4 linked regions of the Pelodiscus sinensis genome follow. The main gene of each other region encodes a partner of the protein of the gene in region 2 in a complex. Links are inferred from orthologs where the notes say so. Each region holds a gene or a part of one and is shown on either strand. Other genes may lie near its edges. The genes, in order: VAMP7, STX5, STX18 and STX7.

Region 1 (6,864 bases), on a different chromosome or scaffold from region 2:
CCTATCCCCGGCCCTCATCCAGCTTCCTCCTACCCCCCATACCAACCCTGCCCCCCCTCGTCCAGCTTCCTCCTACCCCCCATACCAACCCTGCCCCCCCTCATCCAGCTTCCTCCTACCCCCCCATACCACCCCTGCCCCCCCTCGTCCAGCTTCCTCCTAGCCCCCCCATACCACCCCTGCCCCCCCTCATCCAGCTTCCTCCTACCCCCAGTAACACCCCTGCCCCCGGCCCTCATCCAGCTTCCTCCTACCCCCCATACCAACCCTGCCCCCCCTCGTCCAGCTTCCTCCTACCCCCCCATACCAACCCTGCCCCCCCTCGTCCAGCTTCCTCCTACCCCCCCATACCAACCCCGCCCCACCTCGTCCAGCTTCCTCCTACCCCCCCATACCAACCCCGCCCCACCTCGTCCAGCTTCCTCCTACCCCCCCATACCAACCCCGCCCCCCCTCGTCCAGCTTCCTCCTACCCCCCCATACCAACCCTGCCCCACCTCGTCCAGCTTCCTCCTACCCCCCCATACCAACCCTGCCCCACCTCATCCAGCTTCCTCCTACCCCCCCATACCAACCCTGCCCCCCCTCGTCCAGCTTCCTCCTACCCCCCCATACCAACCCTGCCCCACCTCGTCCAGCTTCCTCCTACCCCCCCATACCAACCCTGCCCCCCCTCGTCCAGCTTCCTCCTACCCCCCCATACCAACCCTGCCCCCCCTCGTCCAGCTTCCTCCTACCCCCCCATACCAACCCTGCCCCCCCTCGTCCAGCTTCCTCCTACCCCCCCATACCAACCCTGCCCCCCCTCGTCCAGCTTCCTCCTACCCCCCCATACCAACCCTGCCCCCCCTCGTCCAGCTTCCTCCTACCCCCCCATACCAACCCTGCCCCCCCTCGTCCAGCTTCCTCCTACCCCCCATACCAACCCTGCCCCCCCTCGTCCAGCTTCCTCCTACCCCCCCATACCAACCCTGCCCCCCCTCGTCCAGCTTCCTCCTACCCCCCCATACCAACCCTGCCCCCCCTCGTCCAGCTTCCTCCTACCCCCCCATACCAACCCTGCCCCCCCTCGTCCAGCTTCCTCCTACCCCCCATACCAACCCTGCCCCCCCTCGTCCAGCTTCCTCCTACCCCCCCATACCAACCCCGCCCCCCTCATCCAGCTTCCTCCTACCCCCCATACCAACCCTGCCCCCCCTCGTCCAGCTTCCTCCTACCCCCCCATACCAACCCTGCCCCCCCTCGTCCAGCTTCCTCCTACCCCCCATACCAACCCTGCCCCCCCTCGTCCAGCTTCCTCCTACCCCCCCATACCAACCCCGCCCCCCTCATCCAGCTTCCTCCTGCCCCCCCATACCACCCCTGCCCCCCCTCGTCCAGCTTCCTCCTGCCCCCCCATACCAACCCTGCCCCACCTCATTCAGCTTCCTCCTACCCCCCCATACCAACCCTGCCCCACCTCATCCAGCTTCCTCCTACCCCCCCCCATACCACCCCTGCCCCCCCTCATCCAGCTTCCTCCTACCCCCCCATACCAACCCTGCCCCCCCTCGTCCAGCTTCCTCCTACCCCCCCATACCAACCCTGCCCCCCCTCGTCCAGCTTCCTCCTACCCCCCCATACCAACCCTGCCCCCCCTCGTCCAGCTTCCTCCTACCCCCCATACCAACCCTGCCCCCCCTCGTCCAGCTTCCTCCTACCCCCCCATACCAACCCCGCCCCCCTCATCCAGCTTCCTCCTGCCCCCCCATACCAACCCTGCCCCCCCTCGTCCAGCTTCCTCCTACCCCCCCATACCAACCCCGCCCCCCCTCGTCCAGCTTCCTCCTACCCCCCCATACCAACCCCGCCCCCCCTCGTCCAGCTTCCTCCTACCCCCCCATACCAACCCTGCCCCCCCTCATCCAGCTTCCTCCTACCCCCCATACCAACCCTGCCCCCCCCTCGTCCAGCTTCCTCCTACCCCCCCATACCAACCCTGCCCCACCTCATCCAGCTTCCTCCTACCCCCCCATACCAACCCTGCCCCCCCTCATCCAGCTTCCTCCTACCCCCCCCATACCAACCCCGCCCCCCCTCATCCAGCTTCCTCCTACCCCCCCATACCAACCCTGCCCCCCCTCATCCAGCTTCCTCCTACCCCCCCATACCAACCCTGCCCCCCCTCGTCCAGCTTCCTCCTACCCCCCCATACCAACCCTGCCCCCCCTCGTCCAGCTTCCTCCTACCCCCCCATACCAACCCTGCCCCCCCTCATCCAGCTTCCTCCTACCCCCCCATACCAACCCTGCCCCCCCTCGTCCAGCTTCCTCCTACCCCCCCCATACCACCCCTGCCCCCCCTCATCCAGCTTCCTCCTACCCCCCATACCAACCCCGCCCCCCCTCATCCAGCTTCCTCCTACCCCCCCATACCAACCCTGCCCCCCCTCATCCAGCTTCCTCCTACCCCCCCATACCAACCCCGCCCCCCCTCATCCAGCTTCCTCCTACCCCCCCATACCAACCCTGCCCCCCCTCATCCAGCTTCCTCCTACCCCCCCATACCAACCCTGCCCCCCCTCATCCAGCTTCCTCCTACCCCCCCATACCAACCCCGCCCCCCCTCATCCAGCTTCCTCCTGCCCCCCCATACCAACCCTGCCCCCCCTCATCCAGCTTCCTCCTACCCCCCCATACCAACCCCGCCCCCCCTCATCCAGCTTCCTCCTACCCCCCCATACCAACCCTGCCCCCCCTCGTCCAGCTTCCTCCTACCCCCCCATACCAACCCTGCCCCCCCTCGTCCAGCTTCCTCCTACCCCCCCCATACCAACCCTGCCCCCGCCCCACCCCGCCCCGCCCCCTCTCACCTGCGCCGCGGCCTCGCTCTCGGGCAGGGGGAGTCTCCAGCCCCGCGCGCTCTTCACCTGCCTCCTCCTATCGCTGGCCCCGGCCTCCGCTCCGCGAGCACGTGCACTTCCGCCGAGGACGCGCCCGTGGCCGCCGAGCCTCACGGGAAATGTAGTCACTTGCGCGGGGCGGAGCCACTTCGCCCGAGCCGCGCTGTACGTTGGGAAGCCCCCCCCCCCTGCCGCTCTGCATGCTGGGTAGTGTAGTTCTGAGGCGAGCTCGGAGAGCATGGCTGCTCCAGCTGTTGAGCTGTCACGCGCCTTCTGGGGAGACTCACCCGCAGCCGCCAATCGCAGCCAGACTCCAATTCGAAGTCACTGTCCTGTGGCCATAACGCGCCACAGGGCATCCAGACTGAAAGTCACAGTCACAACTGAGTTCAATCCAGACTGAAAGTCACAGTCACAACTGAGTTCAATCCAGACTGAGTCACAGTCACAACTGAGTTCAATCCAGACTGAAAGTCACAGTCACAACTGAGTTCAATCCAGACTGAAAGTCACAGTCACAACTGAGTTCAATCCAGACTGAGTCACAGTCACAACTGAGTTCAATCCAGACTGAAAGTCACAGTCACAACTGAGTTCAATCCGGACTGAAAGTCCCAGTCACAACTGAGTTCAATCCAGACTGAAAGTCACAGTCACAACTGAGTTCAATCCGGACTGAAAGTCACAGTCACAACTGAGTTCAATGCAGACTGAAAGTCACAGTCACAACTGAGTTCAATCCGGACTGAAAGTCACAGTCACAACTGAGTTCAATGCAGACTGAAAGTCACAGTCACAGCTGAGTTCAATCCAGACTGAAAGTCACAGTCACAACTGAGTTCAATGCAGACTGAAAGTCACAGTCACAACTGAGTTCAATCCGGACTGAAAGTCACAGTCACAACTGAGTTCAATGCAGACTGAAAGTCACAGTCACAACTGAGTTCAATGCAGACTGAAAGTCACAGTCACAACTGAGTTCAATCCGGACTGAAAGTCACAGTCACAACTGAGTTCAATGCAGACTGAAAGTCACAGTCACAACTGAGTTCAATCCGGACTGAAAGTCACAGTCACAACTGAGTTCAATGCAGACTGAAAGTCACAGTCACAGCTGAGTTCAATCCAGACTGAAAGTCACAGTCACAGCTGAGTTCAATCCAGACTGAAAGTCACAGTCACAACTGAGTTCAATGCAGACTCCCATCACTTCCAGCTCCCTGCGCTGCACTGGCCAGCAAGCAGCAGCATGTTCCCCAAATGTCTGTCAGACCTTCTGCTCTACCTCGCCCCTGAGAACAGGCCTGCACAGTGTGATGGAGATTCACAGCCTCTTGTTTTGAGGTGGGCAGCCCTGGTACTGTAGCATCTCACACAATGCTGTCTGCCAGAGGTGTAGTAGGACACTGTTCGCCTCTTCTGAATCTGCCCCATATTTCAGCACCAGTCATGCTCAGCTCATCTTTTTCTCTGACTAGCCCTCTGTGCAAGGATGATGTCTGCCTGCAGCATTCCCTGGTATAACCTTGGAGAAGTGACAGGTGTAACTGTGGAGAAGACACAGCTGTTGGCTGCGCTGTCATGGCCTTTCTTTCTTCCTTTGTCACTTTTCTCTCAAGAGTACATCTGTTCTTCCCAAAGCAAGCTTTGGCTTGGTGCATGGTGTTCTGTGTTTCACACCGAGTCATTTCAATTTGTTGGGTTAATGCATCCCTTTTTAACATGTACTTTCAATATATCTTTGAAATGCTTCTGCTTCCCTCTATAAGCCCTTCTTCCTCAATTTAATTGAGAGAAGGATACTTGTTTCAGGAGCAAAAGACAGGACTAGGCAGCACTTTAAAGACTAACAAGATGGTTTATTAGGAGATGAGCTTTCGTGGGCCCACAAAAGCTCATCACCTAATAAACCATTCTGTTAGTCTTTCAAGTGCTGCATAGTCCTGTCTTTTGTTTCAGCAAGACCAGACTAATACGGCTACATCTCTATTACTATGGTTTGAGGAGGTGAGTGATAGGCGTATTCAGAGTGGCCAGTATATCATGACCCGTGTTTCTATGCTGCTGATGTTGGCTAGAGAACACTGACATTAGTGCATTTGGCTTCTCAGCAGAATCTGAGAATGTTCCTGAGGCAGCACTGCTGGAACCATTCCAGTCATGTGGGATGTTTGTAGAATACCAAGGTTTCCTACAAACTGCTTTGTAAACCAAGATCTTACCTGTTTGTAGATAACCAACCCCTACCCATATTTAATTTAAATTTGCGTAGTCTTCCAAAAGATGTGCTGACACAGCAGAACCTGTATTCAATTTCTGTGTCAGTACCAGCTGTTTGGAAGAGGTGGCTGCCAAGGTACAGAAAACGATCCACATTTTCCAGAGGTTCTCCGCTGACGGTGATTTGTGGAGTATGAAGAGTAGTTTGTGCAGGGGAGGGCTGATGGGATACCTTTGTTTTCCCAATGTAGAGAGACAGACCCAGGGTGTGATAGATAACTGCAAAAAGATGTAGAGTGCTTTGCAGATTGGCTTCTGCGTGTGCAAGAATGACAGTCACCTGCATACTGATTAGTGATGCCATTTCTTTTAATCTTAGATTGTGTTTGGAGATATTGGAGATTGAGGAGTTGACCATCCATATGATACTCAATCCTGGTGCCATCAGGAAGGTAGTCATGGATGAGAATCAGGATCATGACAAGGTACATGGAGAACTGTGTTGGACCAATGACACCAACTACCGGGCATTTAAAAATGGTGGCGCCCGGGAACATGCAGATGAAAGCTGGGATATTTAAATCCCGGGCTTCATTTGCAAGTACAAATGACTACATTAGCCACTCTAGTTTGAACTAGGGTGGCTGGTGTAGACATACCCTAGTGATGAAAATGCATAGTTAGGTGCCAAGAACATAGCTTGGTGAGGTACTGTCCTTTAAACGTAAATTACTCTGTAATTTTTACATCTCTTCATTTCCTAATCCTGCTCTCACTGCACCTCTCACCAGTAGCCAGTGTCATACTAAACCTTGGCTAGCTCCTATGAATGCCTCTGAGTGGAATTAACATGGGACAGCAGCAGTGTTACCAACCCCAAGAGTTCAAACTTGAGCCAGGCCCCTCCAAATTATGAGACTGATTTAAAAAACTCAATTCACAAAATCACTTTTTTTGGTTTGGTTTGAAGATTTATAATAGCACATTTGGAGCTCTTTTTTTCTGGTTTTCAATATCACCACTCCTTGCAATTTTCCTGTGAGTGGCACAATATTTGGTGGCTATGTTAGCACCTCAGGTTATGGAATCAGATTCTTTCCTGAACATTTCAGCTTTCATTTGTTAAAAAAAGGTAAATTTTTGGCTCTTTTGGGTGCAGAGAAGAGCTCTAAATTGTGACCCATACACGTACCAGCCCCAGAAAGCAAACAAAAAGAAATCCAACTTTATTATTTTGAAATTTCATGATTTTTCAGCCAATCTCAAGATTTTAGGGGGAGGGGTCTTGATTCATTACTTTTAACACATTTTGAACCTTTTGGCTGCACTCAGGTCATATTTGCAAGCGTCTCTTCAAGAGAGGGCGAGGCACTGGAAGCTGACATTGGCGGGCAATTACACACCCCTTGGCGCTGGGGCATGACGAACTAGAACAAACCGAGACCGCAAGGAGCAGCCCTGCGCTGCCGTAGAGACCCGCGTGTTTATCGGGGCACGAGCTGTCCCGCGGGAAACCCGCCTCACGAGATGCCCAGGAGCGGAGATTCCCAGCGGGCAGCGCGGGGATGCCCGAAGCCCGCCGGCCGGGCTAGGACTACCCGTCCCAGAATCCCCAGCAGAGCCCGGCCCCCGCCAGGCAGCCATGGCCGAGGAGGCGCAGGGGAAGCCGGCGCTGGAGCTGGTGAGTGTCGCGGCCGGGCCGGGGCTGCCCGGCTGGATGCGGGACGCGCCGGGGGGTTCAGGCTGGTGGCCACGTGGTGACC
Region 2 (7,432 bases):
CCTTGGCCCGCACAAACTCCTGCAGCTGGGCAATCTGCTTGTTCAGGCTGTTGATGTCCTGGGGGAGGGAAATTGCTCCAGTCTCAGTTGTGGCCCACACCCCCACCTGGTCCCAGTGGCCCTTAGGCTCCCACCCAGCTGAGGCTGCTGTTCATAGGCTCCAGCTCCTTTTGTTCCTGCCCACCCCATCCCACCTTCCAAATAAAGAGGCCATCTCTCCCAGCCACCAGGAGATGCTAGCCCTGCTCCCACTAACCTGTTTAATGATATATGTCAGCTCCTCTATCTCCACTGCCTTGTCATCAAACAGGGACTTCCGTTTGGCCACTGAGGACAGAGGGGTATGGTCAGGGAGTGTCCTATGAGGCCTGACAGGGATTCCTTTCCTCTACCACAAGTGCCCTGCTTTATCATGGCCCCCAGGGTCAGAACTACTCCCCCATTCAGGCCCAGCATCAATTACCCTCCCTTGTTGCTCCATAGCAGCCACAAAGCCCATCCCAACTGAGTGAGAATCTCCAGTTCACAATGGCTATAAAAAAAGCAAGAAGCCATGTTAACCCCAAGTGCTATCAGCAGCCCCTCCATGAAGGAGCCCATACCCCAGACAGCCCTCACCCTCTCCCTCCCTCCCTCCTCCCCTCCCCGGCCACTCACAGATGGTCAGCTTCTCCAGCTTGGCAAAAGTGTTGCTGAGATCTTTGCCGATGCGCCTGGGAGGAAACAGAACAGGAGACCAGAGTAAGGGTGGGATCTGTGCTTCCTCAGTTGGGGCCTGCTGACTAAATCATCAGTAGAGCACTTCCTCCTTAGCTCAGCTCTGATCCCAAGGAGAAACCCCTCTCAGCCCCAACCCAGGCAAACCAGCCTATAGCCATCCCACAAGATCCCTTCCCGGCACACTGATCCTGAGTCAGCCCAACATACTCCCAGGTTATCCAGCTGCTGAGCTCCCTCCCCAGATCTTGGCTAGTCCAGCCCTCACCCCACTCACTTGGCTATGACAGTGAATTCACTCCTCTGGCGCATGGCATTCAGGGTTGGTTTGTTCGGCTGCAGCCCATTCTGAAAGGAGAGACAGACTGAACTGAGGTGTTCTGGAGCAGAGAATCCCCCACACTAGCAAGGAATGGGCCTGACACCCCCAGGAAATGAAGACTCACCTGTCTGCTCTGCAAGGACTTGCAGGCAGAGAGGAACTCCTGGGTGCGATCGCGGCACGACATGGTGTCCGGAAAGGGCAGGGATGAGGCAACAGTTGTGGTAGCAGATGGGGACAGCTCCTGTGTCTGCGAAGGTCCCAGATAAACGCCCTGATGCGTGTTCTTAGAGCCGTGGCGTTTTCTCGTAGTCATTGAGGCTCATAACCTGGTGCTAGGGGAGGGGAGGCCACGGGTTCAGGGGCTTGGTTAATAGCTAAGGACCAAACTCCACCCTTCACCAGTCCCCATTAACCCTTTCTTCCTCCCTCTCTTCTCAAGCACACTCACTATCACATCACCTGCCCAGTCCCACTCATCTCTCCTCACCACAGCAAAGAGGCCAGGCAGTTCCAAGGCACTCTTGCCTGCCCCATTCAGAAGCAGCTCCTGATGCAAAATCCAAATGGGGGTCAAGGCTCCCAGAGCTCAGAGATATATGTAAAGGCTTCCTCTGCAATTCATCTGCAGTTCAGAGAGGAGTCTGCTTTGTGGTGCCCACTGTGCAAGGGAAGAGCCAGGCATGTCAGCAGGAAGAGACCCCCTGCCCCACTGCAGAAGCCTCCTAGAGGAATCAATCCCACCATGTCCCAGATTTCAGTGAGTTCCAGTCTCCACCAGAGCAGCCTCAACCAAGTCCAGACAAACAAGACTATTTGGTGACAGACATTAGCAGCTCCCAGAGGTGCACAAACTAGCACTGCTAAGGGTACAGCTGCATCCCCCTGCCTTGAAGTGGTTTTCCATCCTAGGAAGGGTTTACAATTTGGTTCAGTGGCTCTCAAGATGCACTCTGTACAAATTGTTCCAATACCCCGGAAGCTCCTTACCCACCAAGCAGGGATCCTGGCTGTTGGAGTCAGTGTCTGAACCAGGTAATTAGGATCAGAGATACACACAAGTGGAGGCAGGACTGGGGGTAAATAACCATGAAGGCACTTAGGTCCCTCTATCCATTCCCTGTAGGGTCCAATTTTTTTGGTGAAGGTCTAAATTTCTTGATCAAGGTATAGTCAAGGTCCACTCTCCAGAGAAACATTTTTCACGCCGCCACCACCACCACAATGATAACAAGACTTTGTGACTTATTTAAAAACATCTGGGGGCGCAGACTTGGCCCACGATCTGCCTATTGAGTTTCTGGTGAGAGCTGCCCCACAACCCCGCTTCTGCGCAGCGCTCAGAGTCGCTAAGCCCACTGAACAGAGGCGGGGAAAGAAGCGCGCGGACGGGGGGGGGGGGGGGGGGCTGACTTGCACTGAAGAGCAAATAACGGCAGGGGGGCAGAGCCCAAGGGAACCTGCCCCCCGCCCGCTTTAAGCCCCGGGCCCAGAGCAGGGAGTGCGGGCAGGAGGCGCAGGGCAAAGGCTGTAAGGACCCGCCGGGGACAGGCCCTGCAAGGGGAGACGGGGCAGGCGACCCAAGCGGGAGAACATGAGGAGCCCGGAGGGGCGCGGGGGGGACTCGCCGCCCCTCCGGGGGCCCAAAGCGGAGGGAGGGAGGGAGGGAGGGAGAGACGCGGGGCCCCGGGGAGGAGAGAGGTCCGGGGACTGCCCAAGCTGGGCCCACCCCTACCGGCGAGACCCCGACTCCGCCCCGCGACTCACCGAGACGCGAATCTAGCTTTGGTCGTTGCAACCTAGACCCCACCGGCCGGGAACTACGTCACTGCCACGTACACCTCGCGTAACACGTCAACGCGCCACGCACATACGTGCCCCGCCCCCTCCCCAGGGGAGCGAGAGTTTAAAGGGGCCGCGATTATCCGCGAACTTTCTGATCCCTGGTGACCTCGGCTCGGCGGCCTGGCCGGGTCACGGGCCCGGGCCAGGCCCCAAACGGCCCATTCGGAGCTGGGCTCCTCAAACACACTCCGCAGGGACTACGGTCCTACCCCCCCAACCCTGCCCCTACAGCCCCCCCTGCCGTGATTCCCAACCCTACAGCAACAGCTACCCCTGCTGTGGGGGCCTTCTCCCTTACAGCCTCCCCCAACATGGGGGCCTGCTCTGCAACCCTGCCCCTTCAGCCCCCCCAACATGGGGGCCTGCCCCCCATCATAAAACCATAGAGCTGGAAGAGACCTCAGAAGGTCATCAAGTCCACCCCCCTGCTCTAGGCAGGACCAATCCCAACTAAATCAACCCGGCCAGGGCTTTGTCAAGCCGAGACTTAAACACCTCTAGAGATGGAGACTCCACTACTTCCCTAGGTAACCCATTCCAGTGCTTCACCACTCTCCTAGTGCCGCTACAGCCCCCCTTCTGTGGGGACCTTCTCCCTTACAGCCTCCCTCAACATGGGGGCCTGCTCCCCAAGCCTGCCCCTATAGGCCCCCAACATGGGGGCCTGGTCCCCAGTACTGTCCAGGGCAGAAGGCCCAGCCCAGACACAGCTGTGAAAGTTATGTTTATTCCCCATCTCTGTTAGTTGCAAGGCAGCTGTCGTGGGGCGGGGGCCCAGCCTTCAGAGGGCTGTTCTCGGGGTCAGACTCGCTGGGCTCCGGCAGCGCAGTGACTGAGGTAGCGCTCTTGGTGCTCCGTATGGAATCACGCCGGTTGCCAAAGATGGAGACGCGTCTCCAAATGATCCGGATCTTGAGGCTGTCCGAGGAACGCACCGCTGGGGCAGAGTCCGCGATCCGCAGCTGCTTGCACCTAGGCCTGCGCTTGCTGTCTGCAAAGGAGGAGTGTAGACTATCAGCATGTTGACCAGACTGCCCAGCCATCCCTCTGCTTGGGATTATTTATACAGATATTATCATGACACTGATTTAACCATTAATTCCTTTATTAAATCCAAAAGCCAAATAATATTTATACAATTGCTCAAAACATACCTACAAGGCCTAAATAATAAGCAATTTGCCACATCTAGACAAAAACAAAACATTCATAAATATTTGATCAAGAAACTTACAAATGATCTAAACCAAGGGGGTACCAGTCAGCTTCAACATGGCCAGACAGTATATTGGCAATGCACAAAACTTTGAGATAACCTTTTAACAAACAAGTGATGTCTGGAAGCCAGGTACAGACTACAGTTAAAACCAATTGGAGACAGGTCATCTTTATTCCCTGGTTTAATCCAGACAATGTTTACAACCTCTTTTCCCTCCTTCCTGCTTATCAACAGTTTTTCCTTTGTGTCCAACCGTGAAAGTAAATTAAAAATGTCTACAGGTACTGTCCTATTGTAACCCAGGTCCCCGCCAGCTCTTTAAATAGCTCCCTGCTAGCTTTTGCTACAGCTCAGCCAGCTCTTGCTAGAGCTATGCACCAGGGTGCATCTGCTTAGTTTCACCTGTTTGCTCCTGGGTTCACACGGGGCTCTTAATTTTTATAACAACATTGGTTGGTGCGGTGGGAAGGGCTATGTTGGCTCATGCTAAAACAGAATCTCTTTGTTTTATTTAAAACTATCTGCCATCACCCCTCCCAGTCAGAGGCCTTCTCTTCAGAAATATCCTTTCATTTCATTAGTTATTCTTTGAACCAGGCATCCGCCCTACTTCATCGCTTCTGGCCCTGTAACTAATTACTTTTGTGGCCTTTCTTTACAACACACATCTTTCTTCAGCTGAATGTAAGCTAACTTTAATTTCCTAATTTTTATTTATTCTACATTCCCCACTTTGAAATCCAACATACTATGTGGGTTTTACTACATTAAAGCATTTCAAACATACTTCTACAATTTTGGAAAATGGTATCCAACTGCCAAACTTTGCAATATAGAATTAACAGAATAATTATCACAATAATGTAATTACCAAACCGTTAAAATAACCACCTTTACTATGGATGTAATTCCACACTATGGCTATGTCTACACTCGCGGCTTCTTGCGCAAGTAATATGCAAATGAGGCTAAGCATGGAATATTGCCGAGCCTCATTTGCATATCTAATGAGCCACCATTTTTTTCAGAAGAGGCTCTTCCGCAAGAAGGAGCCATTACACCTATTACTTTTCAGGAAGAACAGCATTGCGCAAGAGGGTTTTTCTTGCGCAAGAAGGGGCAGTGTAGACGCTCCTTCTTGCGCAAGAGCCTCTTCTGAAAAAAATGGCTCATTAGGTATGCAAATGAGGCTTGGCGATATGCCACGCTTAGCCTCATTTGCATATTACTCGCACAAGAAGCCGCGAGTGTAGACATAGCCTATAAGCTTGCTCTGCCTTTAAAACATGCTTCTGCAATTTTATCTTTGCCTATGTTTCAATTATATTATACAAAACTAGTATAAAATATATAAATCTTTCCATTTATCACCACTGGAAATTCAGGTGTGAAATAGAACATAAGCCAATTCAAATAGCATCCTCTGTGTCCATAGTAGAAATGGCCCTTTCCCGTCACCACACGATACTGGCCATTAGCAACATAGGCACTTTTTACTTCACCAGCTTCCCAGTGTCTCAGCCATACTGAGTGGTTTGGAGACTGCTTCCTCAGAGTGAACCTACAGGCTGGCAGCTGTGACAGTAAGACATTACACCCACCCATGAAAGGTCCTCAGGCGCAAACCCAGATCTTGTCACTACCATGCAACACCATGGCTACATCTACACTGGCAGCTTCTTGCGCAAGAACTGTTTTGCGGAAGAGTTCTTGCGCAAAAAGTCTTCCACAAGAGCGCATCTACACTGGCATGTGCTTTGGCACAAGAGACGTGCTTTTGCGCAAGAGCGTCTATGGCAGTCTATGGCCATATGGTCTTCTGCCATTTTAGCCATAGGGGTTTCTTGCACAAGAAATTCATGTCGCCTGTCTACACTGCCCTCTTGTGCAAGAGCTCTTGCACAAGAGGGCTTATTCCTCGTGGGGAGAAGAATAACTCTTCCGGAAGAAGCCCTGTTTTCTGACGCTGTACTGTAAATTTACTTGCGCAAGAACGTGTGTACTGTGTAGACACCCAGCAAGTTTTTGCACAAGAACAGCTGTTCTTGCGCAAGAAGCCGCCAGTGTAGACGTAGCCATGCATATGTGTCACAGTACTTTCCAGTACTCACACTGGTAACACTTTGGTCAAGGCTTTCTTTTTTCACAAACTTTATGGTATTGTAATCTTGTTCCTTTCTTGCCTTGCACCTATTATAATTGCCTCCCTTGTACCAAATCTTTAACTTTTCTGTGGTGCTAAAAGAGGGCAATCTTCTTTCTTCTGTCATTTAAGGATGCTTTCACTTTATATAGCATGTATTTATAGTATATTATTAGTGTTATTGTTTTTGATCTTTCCTGGTAGCAAATTAATTTTATCATGTGCATGTACAAAAAATGACCACATCATGCCTATGAAACAATTCAATGCTTTTTTGTCAATAAATTCTTTGCTTTGTTAATTTTGAAAATACAATATTCTAGGTACTAACTTGTTGAAAACACTTCCTCATTTAGTGGATGCAATCCTTCTGCTGCTAACTTCTGTTAAAATGCTTGCTCATATTCCCACAGCCACTCTATGTGAGCTTGGTTTCAAAGTGACATACCAATCCCAAATAGTTTAGTTTAGTTTGCCAATTTTATTAGTTCCCTTCAGTTTTGCTGCTGTCCCATCTTGGCGGGTTTAAGCATTTTAAAGTTTAAATTATTGTCTGTAAAGTCCTTTTAATGATCTGTAGCCATTTTTTACCAAATTGCAGTGACAGTGAAATTCAGTAAAATTAGTGCATGAATAAGTTACCCATTATTATACAATATCTTCTTAATAGATTTAGCCCTAAATCATTATTTGGATTTTTATTTTAAGGCATTTTAATCTTGTATACAATTAGCTTTAGTAGAATTATTCTTTTTCTATTTTTATAAAACACTGCCACGTAGGTTTGTACTCCCTTGATAACATTTTCTTTATACCATGGTTAAACAAAAAACTATTGGACGTATTTTGAATGGTTAAGCTTAGTTTCTTATATTTACTGATCTTCCTTGATTCTGGGTTTGCTTCTGTTTCCAAAGTACACAGCCATCTGAAAAAGAAAACACAACCTATTCTGGCTCCTCTTTGGAGCTGATACAGGATTTTAATGAAATAAATCTTTTTTTATTTTACTCAGAAGTGAAAGTAACTTAAAATTTCTTACAGGTATAGTCCTATTGCAACTCGGGCCCCTGCCAGCTCTTTAAATAGCTCCCTTCAGGCTTGTGCCACAGCTCAGCCAGCTCTTGCCAGAGCTGTACGCCAGGGTGCACCTGCTTACTTTCACCTCTGTTTTTACCCCTTTTAC
Region 3 (7,430 bases), on a different chromosome or scaffold from region 2:
TCCACTACCAGTCAACCCCATTGTACTTGTTTGGCAGACAGGATATCTGACACAAAATACAGGACTATGTAGCACTTTAAAGACTAACAAGATGGTTTATTAGATGATGAGCTTTTGTGGGACAGACCCACTTCCTCAGATCAAATAGTGGGTCTGGCCCACGAAAGCTCATCATCTAATAAACCATCTTGTTAGTCTTTAAAGTGCTACATAGACCTGTATTTTGTTTCAGCTACACCAGACTAACACGGCTACATTTCTATCAGGATATCTGACAGTTCCACTTGCCTAGAATGCACTCATGCTATTGCCCAGAAGCCTGGAATATGAAGTTTTCTTGTGCTTATGACTACAGGTTTAAGTGATTCAAGATGAGAGATTTCCTGAGACAAGCTTCCAGTTCTGATAAAGTCAAATTGCCACTGTAACTTTATTAATTATTTTAAATTAACATAATAGTCTTTAAATCAGATTTTAATTTAAATAATGTTACCACCTATGCTAGATTGCAAAGTCTCAGTGCATAAATAACTGAATAAAAAGGATCATTACTACTTCTAATTAGAATATTTATTTCAGAGGCTCTCTCATGTTAAATATTGGTTAACTGAATATAGGGCATCCGCACTGTACATCCAAGATACATTTAAAAAAAAGTAGACGTATAGCAAAGGGATGTAAAGCGAGGAATTTTCTTCCTGTGACTAACATCCGTTTCCGTCATTAAAAAAAAAGACCAATTAGTGCAGAACAGAGAATGGGAGGACTTAAAACGGAACAGTTCCCACAAGCATCAATGACGCCAGCTCAGAAGCAACATATACTGGGGCAACTTATAGCAAGGATGCCCTGTAGTCGAGTAACCTCATGAATTCTTATCAGTTAGTCAACTATTCTACAGTCCCTGGGGGCAGGCCTGGCAGCCACTGTATCAGAGGTAGCAGCAAAGGGTGCCAGGCAGACACTGGTCCGCAAGGGAAGTCAGTTTAAAAACAAGCTTCACTCGCAGACCAGCTGCCTGTTGCTCCGTGCTGCTGCCTCTGATAAAGAAGCAGCAGCGCAGGGTGGCAGCAGCCCCTGTCTAGTGGGGGTCTAAGCTCCCAAACCTGGCATGAGCCAGAACTGAACTGGGTTGCCTGCCTGGCTGGCTTCTAATACACATTAAATGCAGAGCCGCAGTAGGGGTATGTCCTGGACCCATCACAAGCCAGGACTCAGAAATTTACTGGCAGGAAGAGAGAAAGAGGGAAATGCATGTCTTCTATAGCATTAACCTATAACCTTTTGCTTATCAGTTAATTAATCAACTACACTATTACATCCCTAGCTCCCACCTCTAAATTCATTCTTCTGCAAATAACCAATATTGTCAAAAGTAAAATATCCCCATGACATTATGCCAAAAAGTGCAATTCTGCTGACACCCTCCAGAAAAAGTGTCAATATTTCTTAATATATTCTCTAATACACATATTTTTGTTTCCAATAGCTGCAGGCTATATATTTTTGTTTATATCTATCAGGTTACTTTAGCTCTAGTGTATAGAGGTACAACTCCACTGGCTTCATAATTTGAATCATGATTTAATTTAGCCTACTGTTTTAAAAACTGCAACTCCAGCAATAAAAATATCTCTGGTAGTTGATTTTAAAAAGTGGCAATTCATTAAAGCTGTTCAATGGGTTGGAATGATAGCCTAAAATCTGGAGAGAGATTAATGAACAGAAGACAGGTAAAGCTCTCAAGAGTTCATTGTAAATACAATTTATGACATGGTTAGGACACTGTATTAGTACAGCATGTAATATTTATCTGCACACAGAACATACACATACATCTTCAACAGTTATATGGCCCCAATTCTAAAAACCTAATTGTGCACATAGTATATTTAACTGTAGTCACAAGAATAGATCTAGTAACTACTATGTCACTATTCTTCTGAGTAAATTTACGTTCAAGCATAAATGTTTGCAGGAGCAGGGGCTACAAAAAAGGAGGAATTCTGGTACTCGCATGCAACAGAATTAACCCTAATAATGAATACAGCATAGAGGCTATATAATATCACCAGAGACTGCTACGTGTCATTATAAGCAATATACATGCCTTACCTCTGCCAAGTCACTTGGGGGAGGGCTTAGTTTTAAAGGGATATGTCAACCTGAAAGCTGATCAGTTTTTTTTTTAAGCGTCAGGACAAGAGTAGTTTTAGGTTCTCCTGCGTCCCCCACCAATTGCTGAGTTTGAAAACCATACTGCTGGCTATTATTTTGTTTTTGTGTTCTTTCTCTCCTGTTCCTGGGTAAAAGTCCCCCACGAACAACCGAGAGTAAACGAACGACTACCGGGCAGTTGTTTGTGGGAGGTTTTTTTTTTTTTGCCCAGCACGTTGGTTTTAATGGGAACTTTTAAAAGCCCCCCCCCCCCCCCCCCCGCAGCCCGACCAGCCACGCAGAGCCACCGCCTGGTCACTGCGGATGCACGGGGGCTGTAAAGGGGAAAGACCGACACGCAGGGGAGGGGGCTGCCAAGTGCACGAAGGAAAAGACTACGGGGCGGAGGGGGGGGGGGATAAGAGACTCTCCTCCCCCCTCCCCCCATCGCTTTGCATGGCACCGAGCTGCGGGGCACCTGTAGCTGAGATGGGGCTCGCTGTGCAGACGGGCAGTTGCTCTATTACCTCCACGCCACCCCCTCCCCCGCACTCACCACCTCGCGGGCCCGGCAGGAGAAGTCGCTCTTGGGCCGCTGGCTGCCCCGTTTGAGCAGCTCATCCCGGCCGCTCTCGCCGACCGGGACCCCCAGCGCCTTGTTCCGGGTCTTCACCGTCTTCACGCTGGCTTTGAACAGCAGCGTGATGTCCGCGGCCATAGCGACCCCGCTGCCGCCTCGCACGCCGGCCCCGCGTGGGTCACCCGCACAGTCCTCCCCGCACAACTCCGGCCGCCGTGCAGGGTTCCGCCGCCTTATCCGCCCCGGCGCCGCCCCGAGCCGCCAGGGAGCGCAGAGCCGCTGGGGTGGCACAAAGTGCAACTGGCACGTTCCCAGGCCCCCGCCCCGCGGAAACCCCGCTGCAGTGCCCCAGTGTGGGCGTGAGGGGAGCCCCCAGTGCCCAGTGTGGGTGTGGGGGGAACCCCCAGGGAGCGCCTGCAGTGCCCAGTGTGGGTGTGGGGGGAACCCCCAGGGAGCGCCTGCAGTGCCCAGTGTGGGTGTGGGGGGAACCCCCAGTGCCCAGTGTGGGTGTGGAGGGAACCCCCAGGGAGAGCCCCCAGTGCCCAGTGTGGGTGTGGGGGGAACCCCCAGGGAGAGCCCCAGTGCCCAGTGTGGGTGTGGAGGGAACCCCCAAGGAGAGCCCCCAGTGCCCAGTGTGGGTGTGGAGGGAACCCCCAGGGAGAGCCCCCAGTGCCCAGTGTGGGTGTGGGGGGAACCCCCAGGGAGAGCCCCAGTGCCCAGTGTGGGTGTGGAGGGAACCCCCAAGGAGAGCCCCCAGTGCCCAGTGTGGGTGTGGAGGGAACCCCCAAGGAGAGCCCCCAGTGCCCAGTGTGGGGAGAACCCCCAGGGAGAGCCCCAGTGCCCAGTGTGGGGGGAACCCCCAGGGAGAGCCCCCAGTGCCCAGTGTGGGTGTGGGGGGAACCCCCAGGGAGAGCCTGCAGTGCCCAGTGTGGGTGTGGGAGGAACCCCCAAGGAGAGCCCCCAGTGCCCAGTGTGGGTGTGGGAGGAACCCCCAAGGAGAGCCCGCAGTGCCCAGTGTGGGTGTGGGAGGAACCCCCAAGGAGAGCCCCCAGTGCCCAGTGTGGGTGTGGGGGGAACCCCCAAGGAGAGCCCCCAGTGCCCAGTGTGGGTGTGGGGGGAACCCCCAGGGAGAGCCCCAGTGCCCAGTGTGGGTGTGGAGGGAACCCCCAAGGAGAGCCCCCAGTGCCCAGTGTGGGGGGAACCCCCAGGGAGAGCCCCAGTGCCCAGTGTGGGGAGAACCCCCAGGGAGAGCCCCAGTGCCCAGTGTGGGGGGAACCCCCAGGGAGAGCCCCCAGTGCCCAGTGTGGGTGTGGAGGGAACCCCCAGGGAGAGCCTGCAGTGCCCAGTGTGGGTGTGGGAGGAACCCCCAAGGAGAGCCCCCAGTGCCCAGTGTGGGTGTGGAGGGAACCCCCAGGGAGAGCCCGCAGTGCCCAGTGTGGGTGTGGGAGGAACCCCCAAGGAGAGCCCCCAGTGCCCAGTGTGGGTGTGGGGGGAACCCCCAGGGAGAGCCCCCAGTGCCCAGTGTGGGTGTGGGGGGAACCCCCAGGGAGAGCCCCCAGTGCCCAGTGTGGGTGTGGGAGGAACCCCCAAGGAGAGCCCCCAGTGCCCAGTGTGGGTGTGGGGGGAACCCCCAAGGAGAGCCCCCAGTGCCCAGTGTGGGTGTGGGGGGAACCCCCAGGGAGAGCCTGCAGTGCCCCAGTGTGGGTGTGGGGGGAACCCCCAGGGAGAGGCCCCAGTGCCCAGTGTGGGTGTGAGAGGAATCCCCAAGGAGAGCCTGCAGTGCCCAGTGTCGGTGTGGGGGGAGCCCCCAGGGAGAGCCTGCAGTGCCCCAGTGTGGGTGTGGGGGGAACCCCCAAGGAGAGCCTGCAGTGCCCAGTGTGGGTGTGGGGGGAACCCCCAGGGAGAGGCCCCAGTGCCCAGTGTGGGTGTGAGAGGAATCCCCAAGCAGAGCCTGCAGTGCCCAGTGTCGGTGTGGGGGGACCCCCCAGGGAGAGCCTGCAGTGCCCAGTGTCGGTGTGGGGGGACCCCCCAGGGAGAGCCTGCAGTGCCCAGTGTGGGTGGGTGTGCGGGGGGGGGGGGCAGCGAGCCTGCAAGGTTACCTTACTGCACTGCCCTGGTGGTGGGGGGAGAGGGGAGCCCCTCTTTGCCTCAGTGTGCAGGGGGTGAGCCTCCAGGAAATCTTTCACTGCTGCAGGGGAAGGGGTATGAGTCTCCCCTCCAACCCCAGTGAGATCCTCTGTTCCAGTACCCGTGGGGTTATCACTCTCCATGCCACAGGCAGACTGTCTCACTGGGGGAAGAGAGTGACCTTTCATTCTACAATGAGGCCCCTATACAGTTGTGGTGGGGAGGAGTGAGCCCTACTGAAACTAAAATCAACAGGGCTCCCTGAAGGAGTTCTATCAAAACTGGGGTTTGAGGACTAATTTTTCTTCAGTTGAATCGTAAAATAAAAATTGGTAGGGTTCCTGCATTTACTAAAAGAGATCTTAATCTGTCTTTGAATCTTTGCACTCTAATTCCTTTTACTTCCATGAAAGATATATATTTCACCAAAAGCATAGTTTGGACTTATGCTTAGCATTCTGTTTTTGTTTCTTACAGTAAACGCTTAACCATTACAAGCCAAACTTAATAAAGCGTGGGTCACGCATATGAATTTTGCCAGTATTGTAATACTGGCCAATCCCTCCTAATGCAGATGCAGTTACATAGTCACAAAAATGTTTTGGCCAGGATCTCTTTTTTTCTGGTTCAATGACTGAAACAATCTATATTTGGCAAAAACAAAAGCTGGTATAACTGCATCTACACTAGGGCTTTTGCCAGGATAACAATGTTGTAAAAAAAAAAAATTAACGGTAAAACTTTTAACTGTAGACCTGGCCTTAGGTGGGTATTTTCATGCAGTGTGTTCTTATAAACAATATTATGGCAGGTGTCACCAGGTGGTGCTATTACAGTGTGTTATTGTTGTCCAAGTTCTTTTTCTTAGGCTATGTCTAATGCTACAGTGGACAGCTGCAGTGCACTACTATAGAAATTAACTGCAGTGCTTCTGTGTAGTCCAGAGTCACCAACAGCAGCATGGGGGGCTGTAGCCCACAATTAAAAGGGCCCACGGCTCTAGACTGCCACTGCCACTGACAATAGCATCTGGAGCCTATACAGCATGATCCAGGTGGTGCTGAGGGCTGGGTGGGGAAGGCTACTCCCCCCCGGAAAACTCTGCCAATTCTGTCCAAGGCCTCGCCCTTTACTAGGGGCCCAGAGTTGAGCTCCCCTCCCACTTTGCTGAGGTCCCAGTGAAGTCTGTCGCTTGCTCTGGTGTAGACACTATCTACACTGTCTGCAAGATAATCCACATTCCCAAGAGTTGGTAACTAGAGTGAACAGAAGAATTTCTTCATTAAACTAGCACTATCTACAGTGGGGGTTAGGTCACCAAAGCTACTTCTCTTCCATGTGTGAAAAATCCTGAGGCCTTGTCTACACCTACCAGCACCTTCAATCTACTTCAACTATGCAAATAGCATAGCTGAAGTTGACATTCTCCCTGTGGTGTCTTGCATTCAGTAAGGTTGGAGACTGCTCTCCCATCGATGCCAGCTACTCTTCTCGTCTTAGTAGACTACTAGCATCAAAGGGAGTGCACTCGGAGATCACTTAGTGTAGACAAGCCCTGAGAAAAGTAGCATATGCTGTATGCTGAAAAGTAGCTATTCCCAGTTTGGATTGGCCCCTGCATTTTTCAACCATGTGGAGACATGTTGATTAGTTGATTGAAGTAGGTTTTTCCTCTGGAACTGGGCACTGGTGTTAGGCTTACATTCCTGAAAGAAGAGTTGCATGCAATCTCTTGACCACCTCTGTTCCATGACTAATGTATAAGTGTAAATAAAACAAGTTACTATGTCAATGCTTTCTCTTCCACTGGGAAGCTGAGCTGTGAGGCCCTGGACAGCTGTTACCATTCAGCAGAGGGGCAATGGTAGTATTGGAACAGGACACTGGTGATGGAAGAGGGGGCAATAGTAAATTGCACTTTGAATTGTCTAGCAATGACACTAGCAACTCCATGGAAGGGCTGGAGACAATTTTAAGAAATAACATGTTGTTTTTAATATTATTGAGGAAAATTCATTCTCCCCAGATTGAGCACAAGCAGTTTGCCTTTGTGCAAGAGGATGTTGCAGGCATAGAGGGGAATGCAGTCTCACTCAGCAGACTATGATGGTGCTTTAGTCTCAGCCCACCACTAACTTCTGTAAGTTGCCTTCATGGGGAAGGGAAAAAACGTATGTGTAAATTGCTGGTGGATCTACATATATTGTAACTTACAACTCTTCTCCGACAGTTCCCCATCCTGCTTTTGGCCCATAAACTCCCATGGTAGTCCTCAGAGAGTAGAACCTCTGCAGAGGCCTCAAAATCCTGCCACTTGCCACAGAAGAACTGAAATTAATACAGGCTGAACCTCTCTAGTCTGGCACTCTCTGGTCTGGCAACATATGTGGTTTGGCATGATTTAAGTTAGCTGGATGTCCATTTATCATCTTTGTGGCCACGTTTCCCATGGTCCCATAAAGTTTTACTACAGCCACCAGTCTTGGCTCTCAGTAGTGTATGCTGTTATTTAGCTCTAAATATCTTTTAAGAGCCCAGTAATCAGTGGAATTGTAGGTAATGCTGT
Region 4 (7,975 bases), on a different chromosome or scaffold from region 2:
ACAAACCATACCTTCTGCCCCCCTGATCCTGCATACGTCTCTCTCCCAGACCACGTCTCCCCTCCCCCCTCACCTGCCCCAGGTCACAGCCCTTCCCCTTGCCCTAAGTCACAACCCAAATCCTTACACTCCCCTCCTGCACCCTTGTCCCAGGTCACAAGCCTCTCCTAGATCCTGCACTGCCACCTCCATGTTATAATGCCCTCCTGCAACCATGCCCTCTCCCAGATCCTATGCCCCACTCACCTACCCTCATCCAACCTCCATTCCATACCCTGCACCTCCTCCCTTAATATTAGGAGTGCAGCACTTGACCACTTACCAAATTCTTAGGAACAGCCCCACATCAAAAACTGTTGCCCAGCCTTGATTTGTGATGCATTTTAGTTTGTAAGAAATATCAGAAAATAGAATTAAGATGAGTTCTTTTGGCCTCCCTGCTCCCCACCCCTTTAACCCGTTAAGCATCACATTTAAGCATTTAACCAATTAAACAGGATTTTACATCCTTACTGCTGACCAGGCCATAAAAGTCTAGTTAATGGCACAGGAGGTAAGGCAGGCTGCATACCTGTCCTGGCTCTCTGCATCTCCTGGAAGCGGCTGGCATGTCTCTGCGGCCCTTAGGAGCTATCAGGGAAGCTGTGTGCACTGCCCTCATCCTCAGTGCCAGCTCCGCAGCTCCCACTGAGCAAAAACTGCATCTAAGGAGAGCTATGGGGGCAGTACCTGTGGGCACAGGAAGCACACAGAGCTCTCTAGCTCCGCCACCTAGGAGCAGAACATGGCAGCCGCTTCTGGGAGGCACACGGAATCAGGAAAAGTAAGGAGCCTGCCTGAGTCCTGCTGTGCTGCTGCCCAGAAGTAAGGACTGCCTGGCTGGAGCTCATACCCTACTCCTTCTCCTGCACCCCAATCCTCTGCCCCAGGTTGGAACCCCCCCCCTCTAGCTCCACTCATCTGAAAAAGAGCGTTGTGCTCACAAAAGCTCATGATACTTTTTTTGGGGTTAATTTCTAAAGTGCTACAGGACCACTTGTTTAAGGGTTCTTACTTTTCAGGGTAGCATTAAGGGACTAGAGTACGCCTACCGTACTTAGAACTCCTTTCAAGGAGTTTATCAAGAGTAAAGGACGACCCGGTTACAGTTTCAGTACTTACATGGAGAAACAAGTATTTAATAATAGGATCCTCATTCAAGTAAAGAGAGCAATTTAATTCAATGGTTAGAAGTTGAAGGTGGAAACATTCAGACAGGAAATAAAGCATACATTAACACTGAGTAATTACAACTGGAACAGTTTATCAAAGGTCATCTTTAACAATCTAAAACTCAAGACTGGATGTTTTTCTAAATTTACAAGATACTGTATGTTCTAGGGATTATTTTGGGGAAATTCTATGGGGTGTGTTGATTTCTAGGTGATCACAATTGGGTCACTTCCAGCATTAGAATCTACTAATGTATTCAAGAGCCACATGTAAAAACAAACATTTTTGTTATGTTGCATGTAGCTACGTGATAGCAGACTCAGCAGACTCAGAGGGCACATTAACTTATTTACACAAACATATATACACATGCTTTAAAACAGTGAAGTAGTGGATGTGATAACGAGCACAAAAAAAGATCAAGGATTCACACTTTCAGGTTTTCATACACTAACTTTCTGCACACAGGCAGTCCAGCAACTTCCCAAAAGCTCTACAATACCTGCTTGTCAAACAGCAGCATATCAAAAACTCAGCTCTGCACTTTGCTCTATCCCACTTTGAAATGGAAGTAGACAAGGAACCCATGAGTGCCTGGCAGCACACAGTAGTCTCTTAATGCAAGACAAGCTTATGTCTCAACTTGCTGCAAACTAGGGCCCAATCTATCTACCCTACAGCAGGCCATGGATCCAAGCTGTGCAACTTCAGCTACATAAACATAACGTAGCTGACAGCGACATACCTAGATCTACTTATTGTTGTATGCTCACCACAGTAAGTTGAACTCATATCTACCCCACCTACGCTTCTCATTCTGGTGGCATACTGGAGTCAACAGGTGAGCACTCAGCATCAATTTATAGTGTAAAAAAAAAAAAAATCTACCCCTGCTGGATTGATCGTTGCCTACGCATAGTGAAGGCACCCTCTACACCCTCTACGTGTCCAGGTAGACAATCCCTAAAGAGGGATATATACAATAACAGTTTGGGGGTATCACTGCTCCAAGAAATTCTTTGCTCAGTGTCAGGAGAAAGAAATGCTGCAATTCTTTGACACTGCAACAACTGCAGGGCTGCAAAGGAAGACAGAAGGGGCGGGAGGGAGGCGTTTCCTTCCTGAGCGTTAACCCTCCCTCTGTGGGAGCACGAAGCACAAGGGCACACCCGCACATGACAAACACTGCCTCCACCCAGACTCGGCTCTCGCACAACCCTCTTGGGGTGCACGAGTCGCTCTTGGCTCTGGGGAAACAGTCCAAGGAGGTGGGAAGCAGGGCGGGCGTGTGCCCCCGACGGGCGAGGGCTACCCGCTCTCCAGCCAGCCGCGGGTGCAGCCGGGCGCAGGGACGGGCTGCAGCTCGGCGGCGATGGGCCGCGGGAATGCGGAACCGATCCCTTCCCGTGGGCAGCCGCCGCGTCTGCCCTGCCCCTCCCCTCTCGCCAGCGGGGCTGGGAGCTGTGCCGCACCCGCACGCCGCCCCCCACCACGCGGGCAGGGCGGCCCCCGCTGCTGCCCGCCCCCTTGCCGCGGGGAAGCTGGAGCCGCCCGGGAGCAGGGCGGCACCCCCCGGGGGCACCCCCGGAAAGACAAGCGAGCGCAGCGACTCCCCTGGGCGCCGCTGCACCCCCAGCGCCTCTTACCAGGCCCCAGCGGCTCCGCCTCCCAGCACAGCCGGGCTCAGGACGCCGCACGGCACCGCTCAGCTGAGCGGCGGCTCCGGCTGCAGCAGAAGAGTCCCGGGGAGAGGAGGCGGGGCTGAGCTCGCCGGCCCCGCCCCTTCGCCTGGGCCCAGTGACGCGGCAAGCAGCTGCCTTCCCGCCCCCTAGCGGGCTGAGCCCGGCGCGCCGCCGCCTGCAGCCTCCGGGCGGCCCCCTGAGCGCGCAAAGCGGGAGCCTCTCCAGTCAGGCGTCATTAAGGGAGCCCGCTGCAGGGGTGGGAGCCTAGTCGCTCCGGATCTCTTACTCCTTCAACGGCCCGAGCGTTTCTGCCTCGCGGAGCTGCTGCCGCTCAGAGCCTAGCGCTCAGCCCTGCAAGCTCAGCTCCTGGCGAATCTTCTGCAGCCAAGATGTTGGCTATGGACTGGGTCTGAGCATTCAGCGCCTCACGTATCTGGATGCCCTCAGTTATTAGCTCGCCTTCCTTGTTAAGCACGTGACCTATAGTTTCCTTCATCTTTCTCTTGCTCCCGATGTATGTCAAGCCTCTCATTGTATTGCCTTGTGTATGCCCCTTGCTACATGTAACCCCTTTTGTGCCTTACCCTGTCTGATTTTGTTTTGCCATGCTTGTACTATCCTTTCTTCCTTAACTATTCAGCCATGTTTCCCCTCTTTGTAGGATTTTTTTTTTAATTTCAGATGATTAAAGAGCTCCTAATTGAGCTAGTGCCCAGGAGGAAAGGAAGAGAAGAGCCAGCCCCCAACTATCTTAGGCCCTGAGTGCACTAGACCAGGCAGATTGGCTTAAGGTACTCCATCCAGCTACACGAAATGCTAGCTGGGATCAGCTTATCTTAAACTGAGCCACTGCAGCGTCTACACTGCAGGAGGCTGGTGGGAGCACACACTCCCACCAGCTTCCCTGACCCCGGTGGGGGCTGCCTTCAGCGTTCAATTTGGGAATCTACGCTAGACCTGCTAACTTGAACATTAAATTGACCTCCCGAGGGTCAGTCTTCTCCATAGTGTAGCAATGCTCTCCGAGACCTCAAAATCAGGTTAAAAATGCAGGCGAACAGGTAGAAGATCCAGCTCCTTTGTCTTCCTGAGGAATAATGCTCTAGATTCTAACTGGACACAGAGGAGCCTGGCCGCATTCTCACCCACAGACCCTCCACTACAGAATGGGCTTGAGCCTAAGAGAACTCAGCTTCTACACATACACATTCTTGCTCTCAATTGGTGAGCAGAGTCTCCAGTTTTGGAATCTTTTTCTACAGCTGGACTCTGTTCCCTCAGAAAGCAGGTGGATAGTCACAGTTTCAGCCATGCAGTCCTCCTCTAACATACTGTGAACCTGCAACTGCAGAGCAGGAAGTTGGGAACTGTACAGCCTCAGTCCTGGAGTCTGGTAATTAGAAGAGGAGCAGTTCACAGCTCCACCCACTTCTGTCTTTTCAATGTTTAATGATAGTTGTTTCCACCCACTATAGATGTCTTCTATTCCCAGTCATCTTTGGCTTCTAGGCAGTTCTACAACTTTATTATTGTGGATATCAAGAATCTTCTCACTGGCTTTTTAATTTTGAGAAAGTGTTCATTCGAAGTCTGAAATTGGAGTCCAATGTTCTTTGTAGAAAAACAAAACAAAACCCTTCTAATTCCAAATATATGCTTATATAAATATGGCAGAGATGCATAAAAGTTACTTAACCTGTGAGCTCTTTAGGAAACAGACTGTTTTTGTTATGTGTTTGTTTTAGCTGTGTAGCACTGTGGAGCTTTGCTTGGAGGTTTTAGCTGCTACCATAATACAATAACAGTGAAAAGTTAAAACAACTTAGAAGAAAAAGAAAAACCCAGACAAAAACTATTTGCTAACGTTTTGATATCAATACTCGTTCCACATAACTTTTCCATCTGGTTGATTATTACAGACATGGTGCCCTCTCTTCAGTTAATTTAAATAAATTGGCTGTGTCTAGACTGGCAAGTTTTTCCTCAAAATCATCTGCTTTTGCAGAAAAACTTGCCAGCTGTCTACACTGTCCGCTTGAATTTCCGGAAAAGCACTGACGATCTCATGTAAAATCATCAGTGCTTTTCCAGAAAAACTATGCTGCTCCCGTTCAGGCAAAAGTCTTTTTCCGAAAGACTTTTGCGCAAAAGGGCCAATGTAGACAGCATAGTACTCTTTTCCGCAAAAAAGCCCCGATCGTGAAAAAGGCGATCGGGGCTTTTTTGCGGAAAACCGCGTCTAGTTTGGCCACAGACGCTTTTCCGCAAAAAGTGCTTTTGCAGAAAAGCATCCTGCCAATCTAGACGCGCTTTTCCAAAAATGCTGTTAACGGAAAACTTTTCCGTTAAAAGCATTTTCGGAAATTCATGCCAGTGTAGACGTAGCCATTGATAGTATTTAGTTATAGCTACTAAAGCAGCAGTGAGCAACCTAAGGGACTCATGTGGCCCATTGTGGTTCTGTGAGTGGCCCATGAGACGTTTTGTTTACTGTTGCTCATGCACAGGATTGCCGGATTACACTGCTTTTCATCTGCTGAGTGTTTTTTTCTACCAATATTTAAAAAGTGACACATACTTAAAGCAAGTGCATGTGAAGTGAAGTATGTGCTGATTGCACACAACATTGTGAGACCTGTGTGCTTTCTGTATCCAATCAAAGTGTTGTTACAGTTCAAACAGCACACCTTGCAAATGCTAGGTAGGTAAGCACAGTTAGCAAAACTACCCTATCCTGGGAGACCGTCTTAGTTACAATATTCTTGCAGCCCACTGAGGTGAAGGAGGGCCACTTGTGCAGTCCACTCACTACCCGAGGTTGCCCCTCATTGTGTTAAAGCATGCTAGAGAGGTGGAACAAAGTAGATTGGTAGGATTTAGGTGAGTTCTTCATGCTCTAGCTATTTGGAATTCTGTTGTGCAAGCAAAGGTGCTGTGACTTTTATACATAAAAAGTAATAAAAATGGCACTCCTGGACATTTATGCTATCATATGCTACATACATTCTGTATGCATGCTCATTTTGGGTTTAATATTTCATTCTGATTGGCAATTATTTTAATACTGTTTGTATTACTTTATTTTCCTTACAGTTGTAGTATATTTTGGATAACCCAGTATTTACCACTAGATGGCAAAATAGTGACGTTACACTACTCTCCTCTGCTAGCTGAAGATCGTGAGCTTGAATATGATCTCTCATTGGTTTTACACCAATATGACTTCAGTGCTTTCAGTACAGTCATTCTAGATTTACATGGACTCAGATGAGATCATAATACATTTCTTCTGTCAAAGCAATATACAAATATATATATATATATATATATATATATATATATATATATATATATATATATATATGAGCATTTTGTTTTGGATTTGTATTTCTGATAAAAAATGTCTTGTTCAGAGCAGACACTTTGTAACTTAGGGAGCAGTTCACTTTGATTTGCAACATATGGATACCTCTGTCTGCATTTCATGTCTTCTGATAGAAATGTATGACACTTATGAAATAAGGCAGAAGTTCCCAAACAGTGTTGTGCAGGATTTTGATGGCCCCTGGAGATTTTCTTGGTATGCACTGTTACTGTATTCTCCTCCTTGCCTCCAGCAGCTTTTCTATGTTACAAGACAGATACAAATACATTAAATATTTACCTAATATTATTCTTCCAAGTAAGCAATAGTTGTGGCCACAAGGATGTTACAGAATGGAAGGAGAGGCAGATCACAAAACAGATCCAGTTGGCCCAAGAAAAGGGAAAAGGAAATGCTTCTGATCAGTATTTTCTGACAGATTATCTCAGCTATTTATTTCTATAGCTTCCATCTTCAAAGTATTTGAGTGTTAAATTCAGGGTTAAATAAACATTTGATTAGGGAGCATCTGCTCTGCTTCTTGTGGGTCAAAATCAGGTTCATGTGCCCATACAGGCAGTCCCTGGGTTACGTACAAGATAGGGACTGTAGGTTTGTTCTTAAATTGAATCTGTATGTAAGTTGGAACTGGCGTCCAAATTCAGCCACTGCTGAAACTGACCAGCGGCTGACTACAGGAAGCCAGAGGCAGAGCTGCTCTGCCCCGGGCTTCCTGGAATCAGCCGCTGATCAGTTTCAACAGCGGCTGAATCTGGACACCAGTTCCGACTTACATACAGATTCAACTTAAGAACCCCAGGCGTCCCCAAGTCAGCTGCTGCTGAAACTGATCAGCGGCTGATTCCAAGAAGCCTGGGGCAGAGCAACTCTGCCTCGGGCTTCCTGTAGTCAGCGCTGGTCAGTTTCAGCAGTGGCTGACTTGGGGACGCCTGGGGCAGAGCATCTGGGGTGCTGCTGGGTTGCTCCAAGCTGTTCTGCCCCAGGCGTCCTGATTCAGCCGCTGCTGAAACTGACCAGCAGCGGCTGAATCAGGACGCCTGGGGCAGAGCAGCTGGGGTGCTGCCGGGTTGGTCCAGTAGCGCCGAGAGCGGCGCTGCGGGACCAACCGGCAGTGCCCCAACTGCTCTACCACAGGCATCCCGAGAAAAGCCTGGTCTGCTGGGGGGGGGGGGGGAGGGGGCGCACTAGCTGCACTCCCCCGCCCCAGCAGACCAGGGAGACACGGAGGACCGGAGCGGCGGGACCATGGCGCATCTCGGTCCCGCCGCCCGCGTCTCCCTGGTCTGCTGGGCTCCCCCCAGCAGACCAGGGAGACGCGGAGCAGCTTTTCTCACCCCGGAGGACGTGGGTGGCGGGACCGCAGTGCGTCTGGGCGGTCCTGCCGCCCGCGTCCTCCAGGGCAAGATAAGCCCCGTTCGTAAGTGCGGATCCGACGTAAGTTGGATCCGCGTAACCTGGGGACTGCCTGTATTTGGAAGAGGAAAACTAAAGGGAGCAAGGCAAACAACCAAGGTGGGGCTCATTTTCAGAGGCACTGCCCCCCAAATTTCTTACTGAAGTCAGTGGGAGGTGTGGGTACTCAGCATCTTTGAAATTCATGCTCCTGACCATTCCGTATTTCTCTTCCTCATGGGAAAGGCAACACAAACAGGTGTGTTTTTTACAGCATCCTAAAAGAATGAGTATTCTAGACAGT

What was found.
Region 1: STX5 (region 2) and VAMP7 share a complex: the UniProt entries of both Homo sapiens proteins name them as parts of the SNARE complex. The link is inferred for Pelodiscus sinensis from reciprocal best matches to the Homo sapiens genes STX5 and VAMP7.
Region 3: STX5 (region 2) and STX18 share a complex: the UniProt entries of both Homo sapiens proteins name them as parts of the SNARE complex. The link is inferred for Pelodiscus sinensis from reciprocal best matches to the Homo sapiens genes STX5 and STX18.
Region 4: STX5 (region 2) and STX7 share a complex: the UniProt entries of both Homo sapiens proteins name them as parts of the SNARE complex. The link is inferred for Pelodiscus sinensis from reciprocal best matches to the Homo sapiens genes STX5 and STX7.

The regions. Positions count from the first base shown.
Region 1 is NC_134723.1:279,407-286,270, forward strand, and holds the start of VAMP7 (vesicle-associated membrane protein 7), read right to left. Parts: upstream 3,011-6,864; 5' UTR 2,852-3,010; intron 1-2,851. Other genes in the region: DNA-directed RNA polymerases I and III subunit RPAC2-like, read left to right, coding at 6,744-6,782. UniProt on the Homo sapiens protein: Involved in the targeting and/or fusion of transport vesicles to their target membrane during transport of proteins from the early endosome to the lysosome. Required for heterotypic fusion of late endosomes with lysosomes and homotypic lysosomal fusion.
Region 2 is NC_134721.1:36,452,212-36,459,643, forward strand, and holds the start of STX5 (syntaxin-5), read right to left. Parts: upstream 3,019-7,432; 5' UTR 2,807-3,018; intron 2,386-2,806; exon of another isoform or gene 2,030-2,385; intron 1,991-2,029; exon of another isoform or gene 1,530-1,990; intron 1,375-1,529; 5' UTR 1,356-1,374; coding exon 1,164-1,355; intron 1,066-1,163; coding exon 995-1,065; intron 714-994; coding exon 658-713; intron 328-657; coding exon 257-327; intron 59-256; coding exon 1-58. UniProt on the Homo sapiens protein: Mediates endoplasmic reticulum to Golgi transport.
Region 3 is NC_134715.1:110,695,913-110,703,342, forward strand, and holds the start of STX18 (syntaxin-18), read right to left. Parts: upstream 3,003-7,430; 5' UTR 2,876-3,002; coding exon 2,714-2,875; intron 1-2,713. UniProt on the Homo sapiens protein: Syntaxin that may be involved in targeting and fusion of Golgi-derived retrograde transport vesicles with the ER.
Region 4 is NC_134713.1:94,319,158-94,327,132, forward strand, and holds the start of STX7 (syntaxin-7), read right to left. Parts: upstream 3,016-7,975; 5' UTR 2,859-3,015; intron 1-2,858. UniProt on the Homo sapiens protein: May be involved in protein trafficking from the plasma membrane to the early endosome (EE) as well as in homotypic fusion of endocytic organelles. Mediates the endocytic trafficking from early endosomes to late endosomes and lysosomes.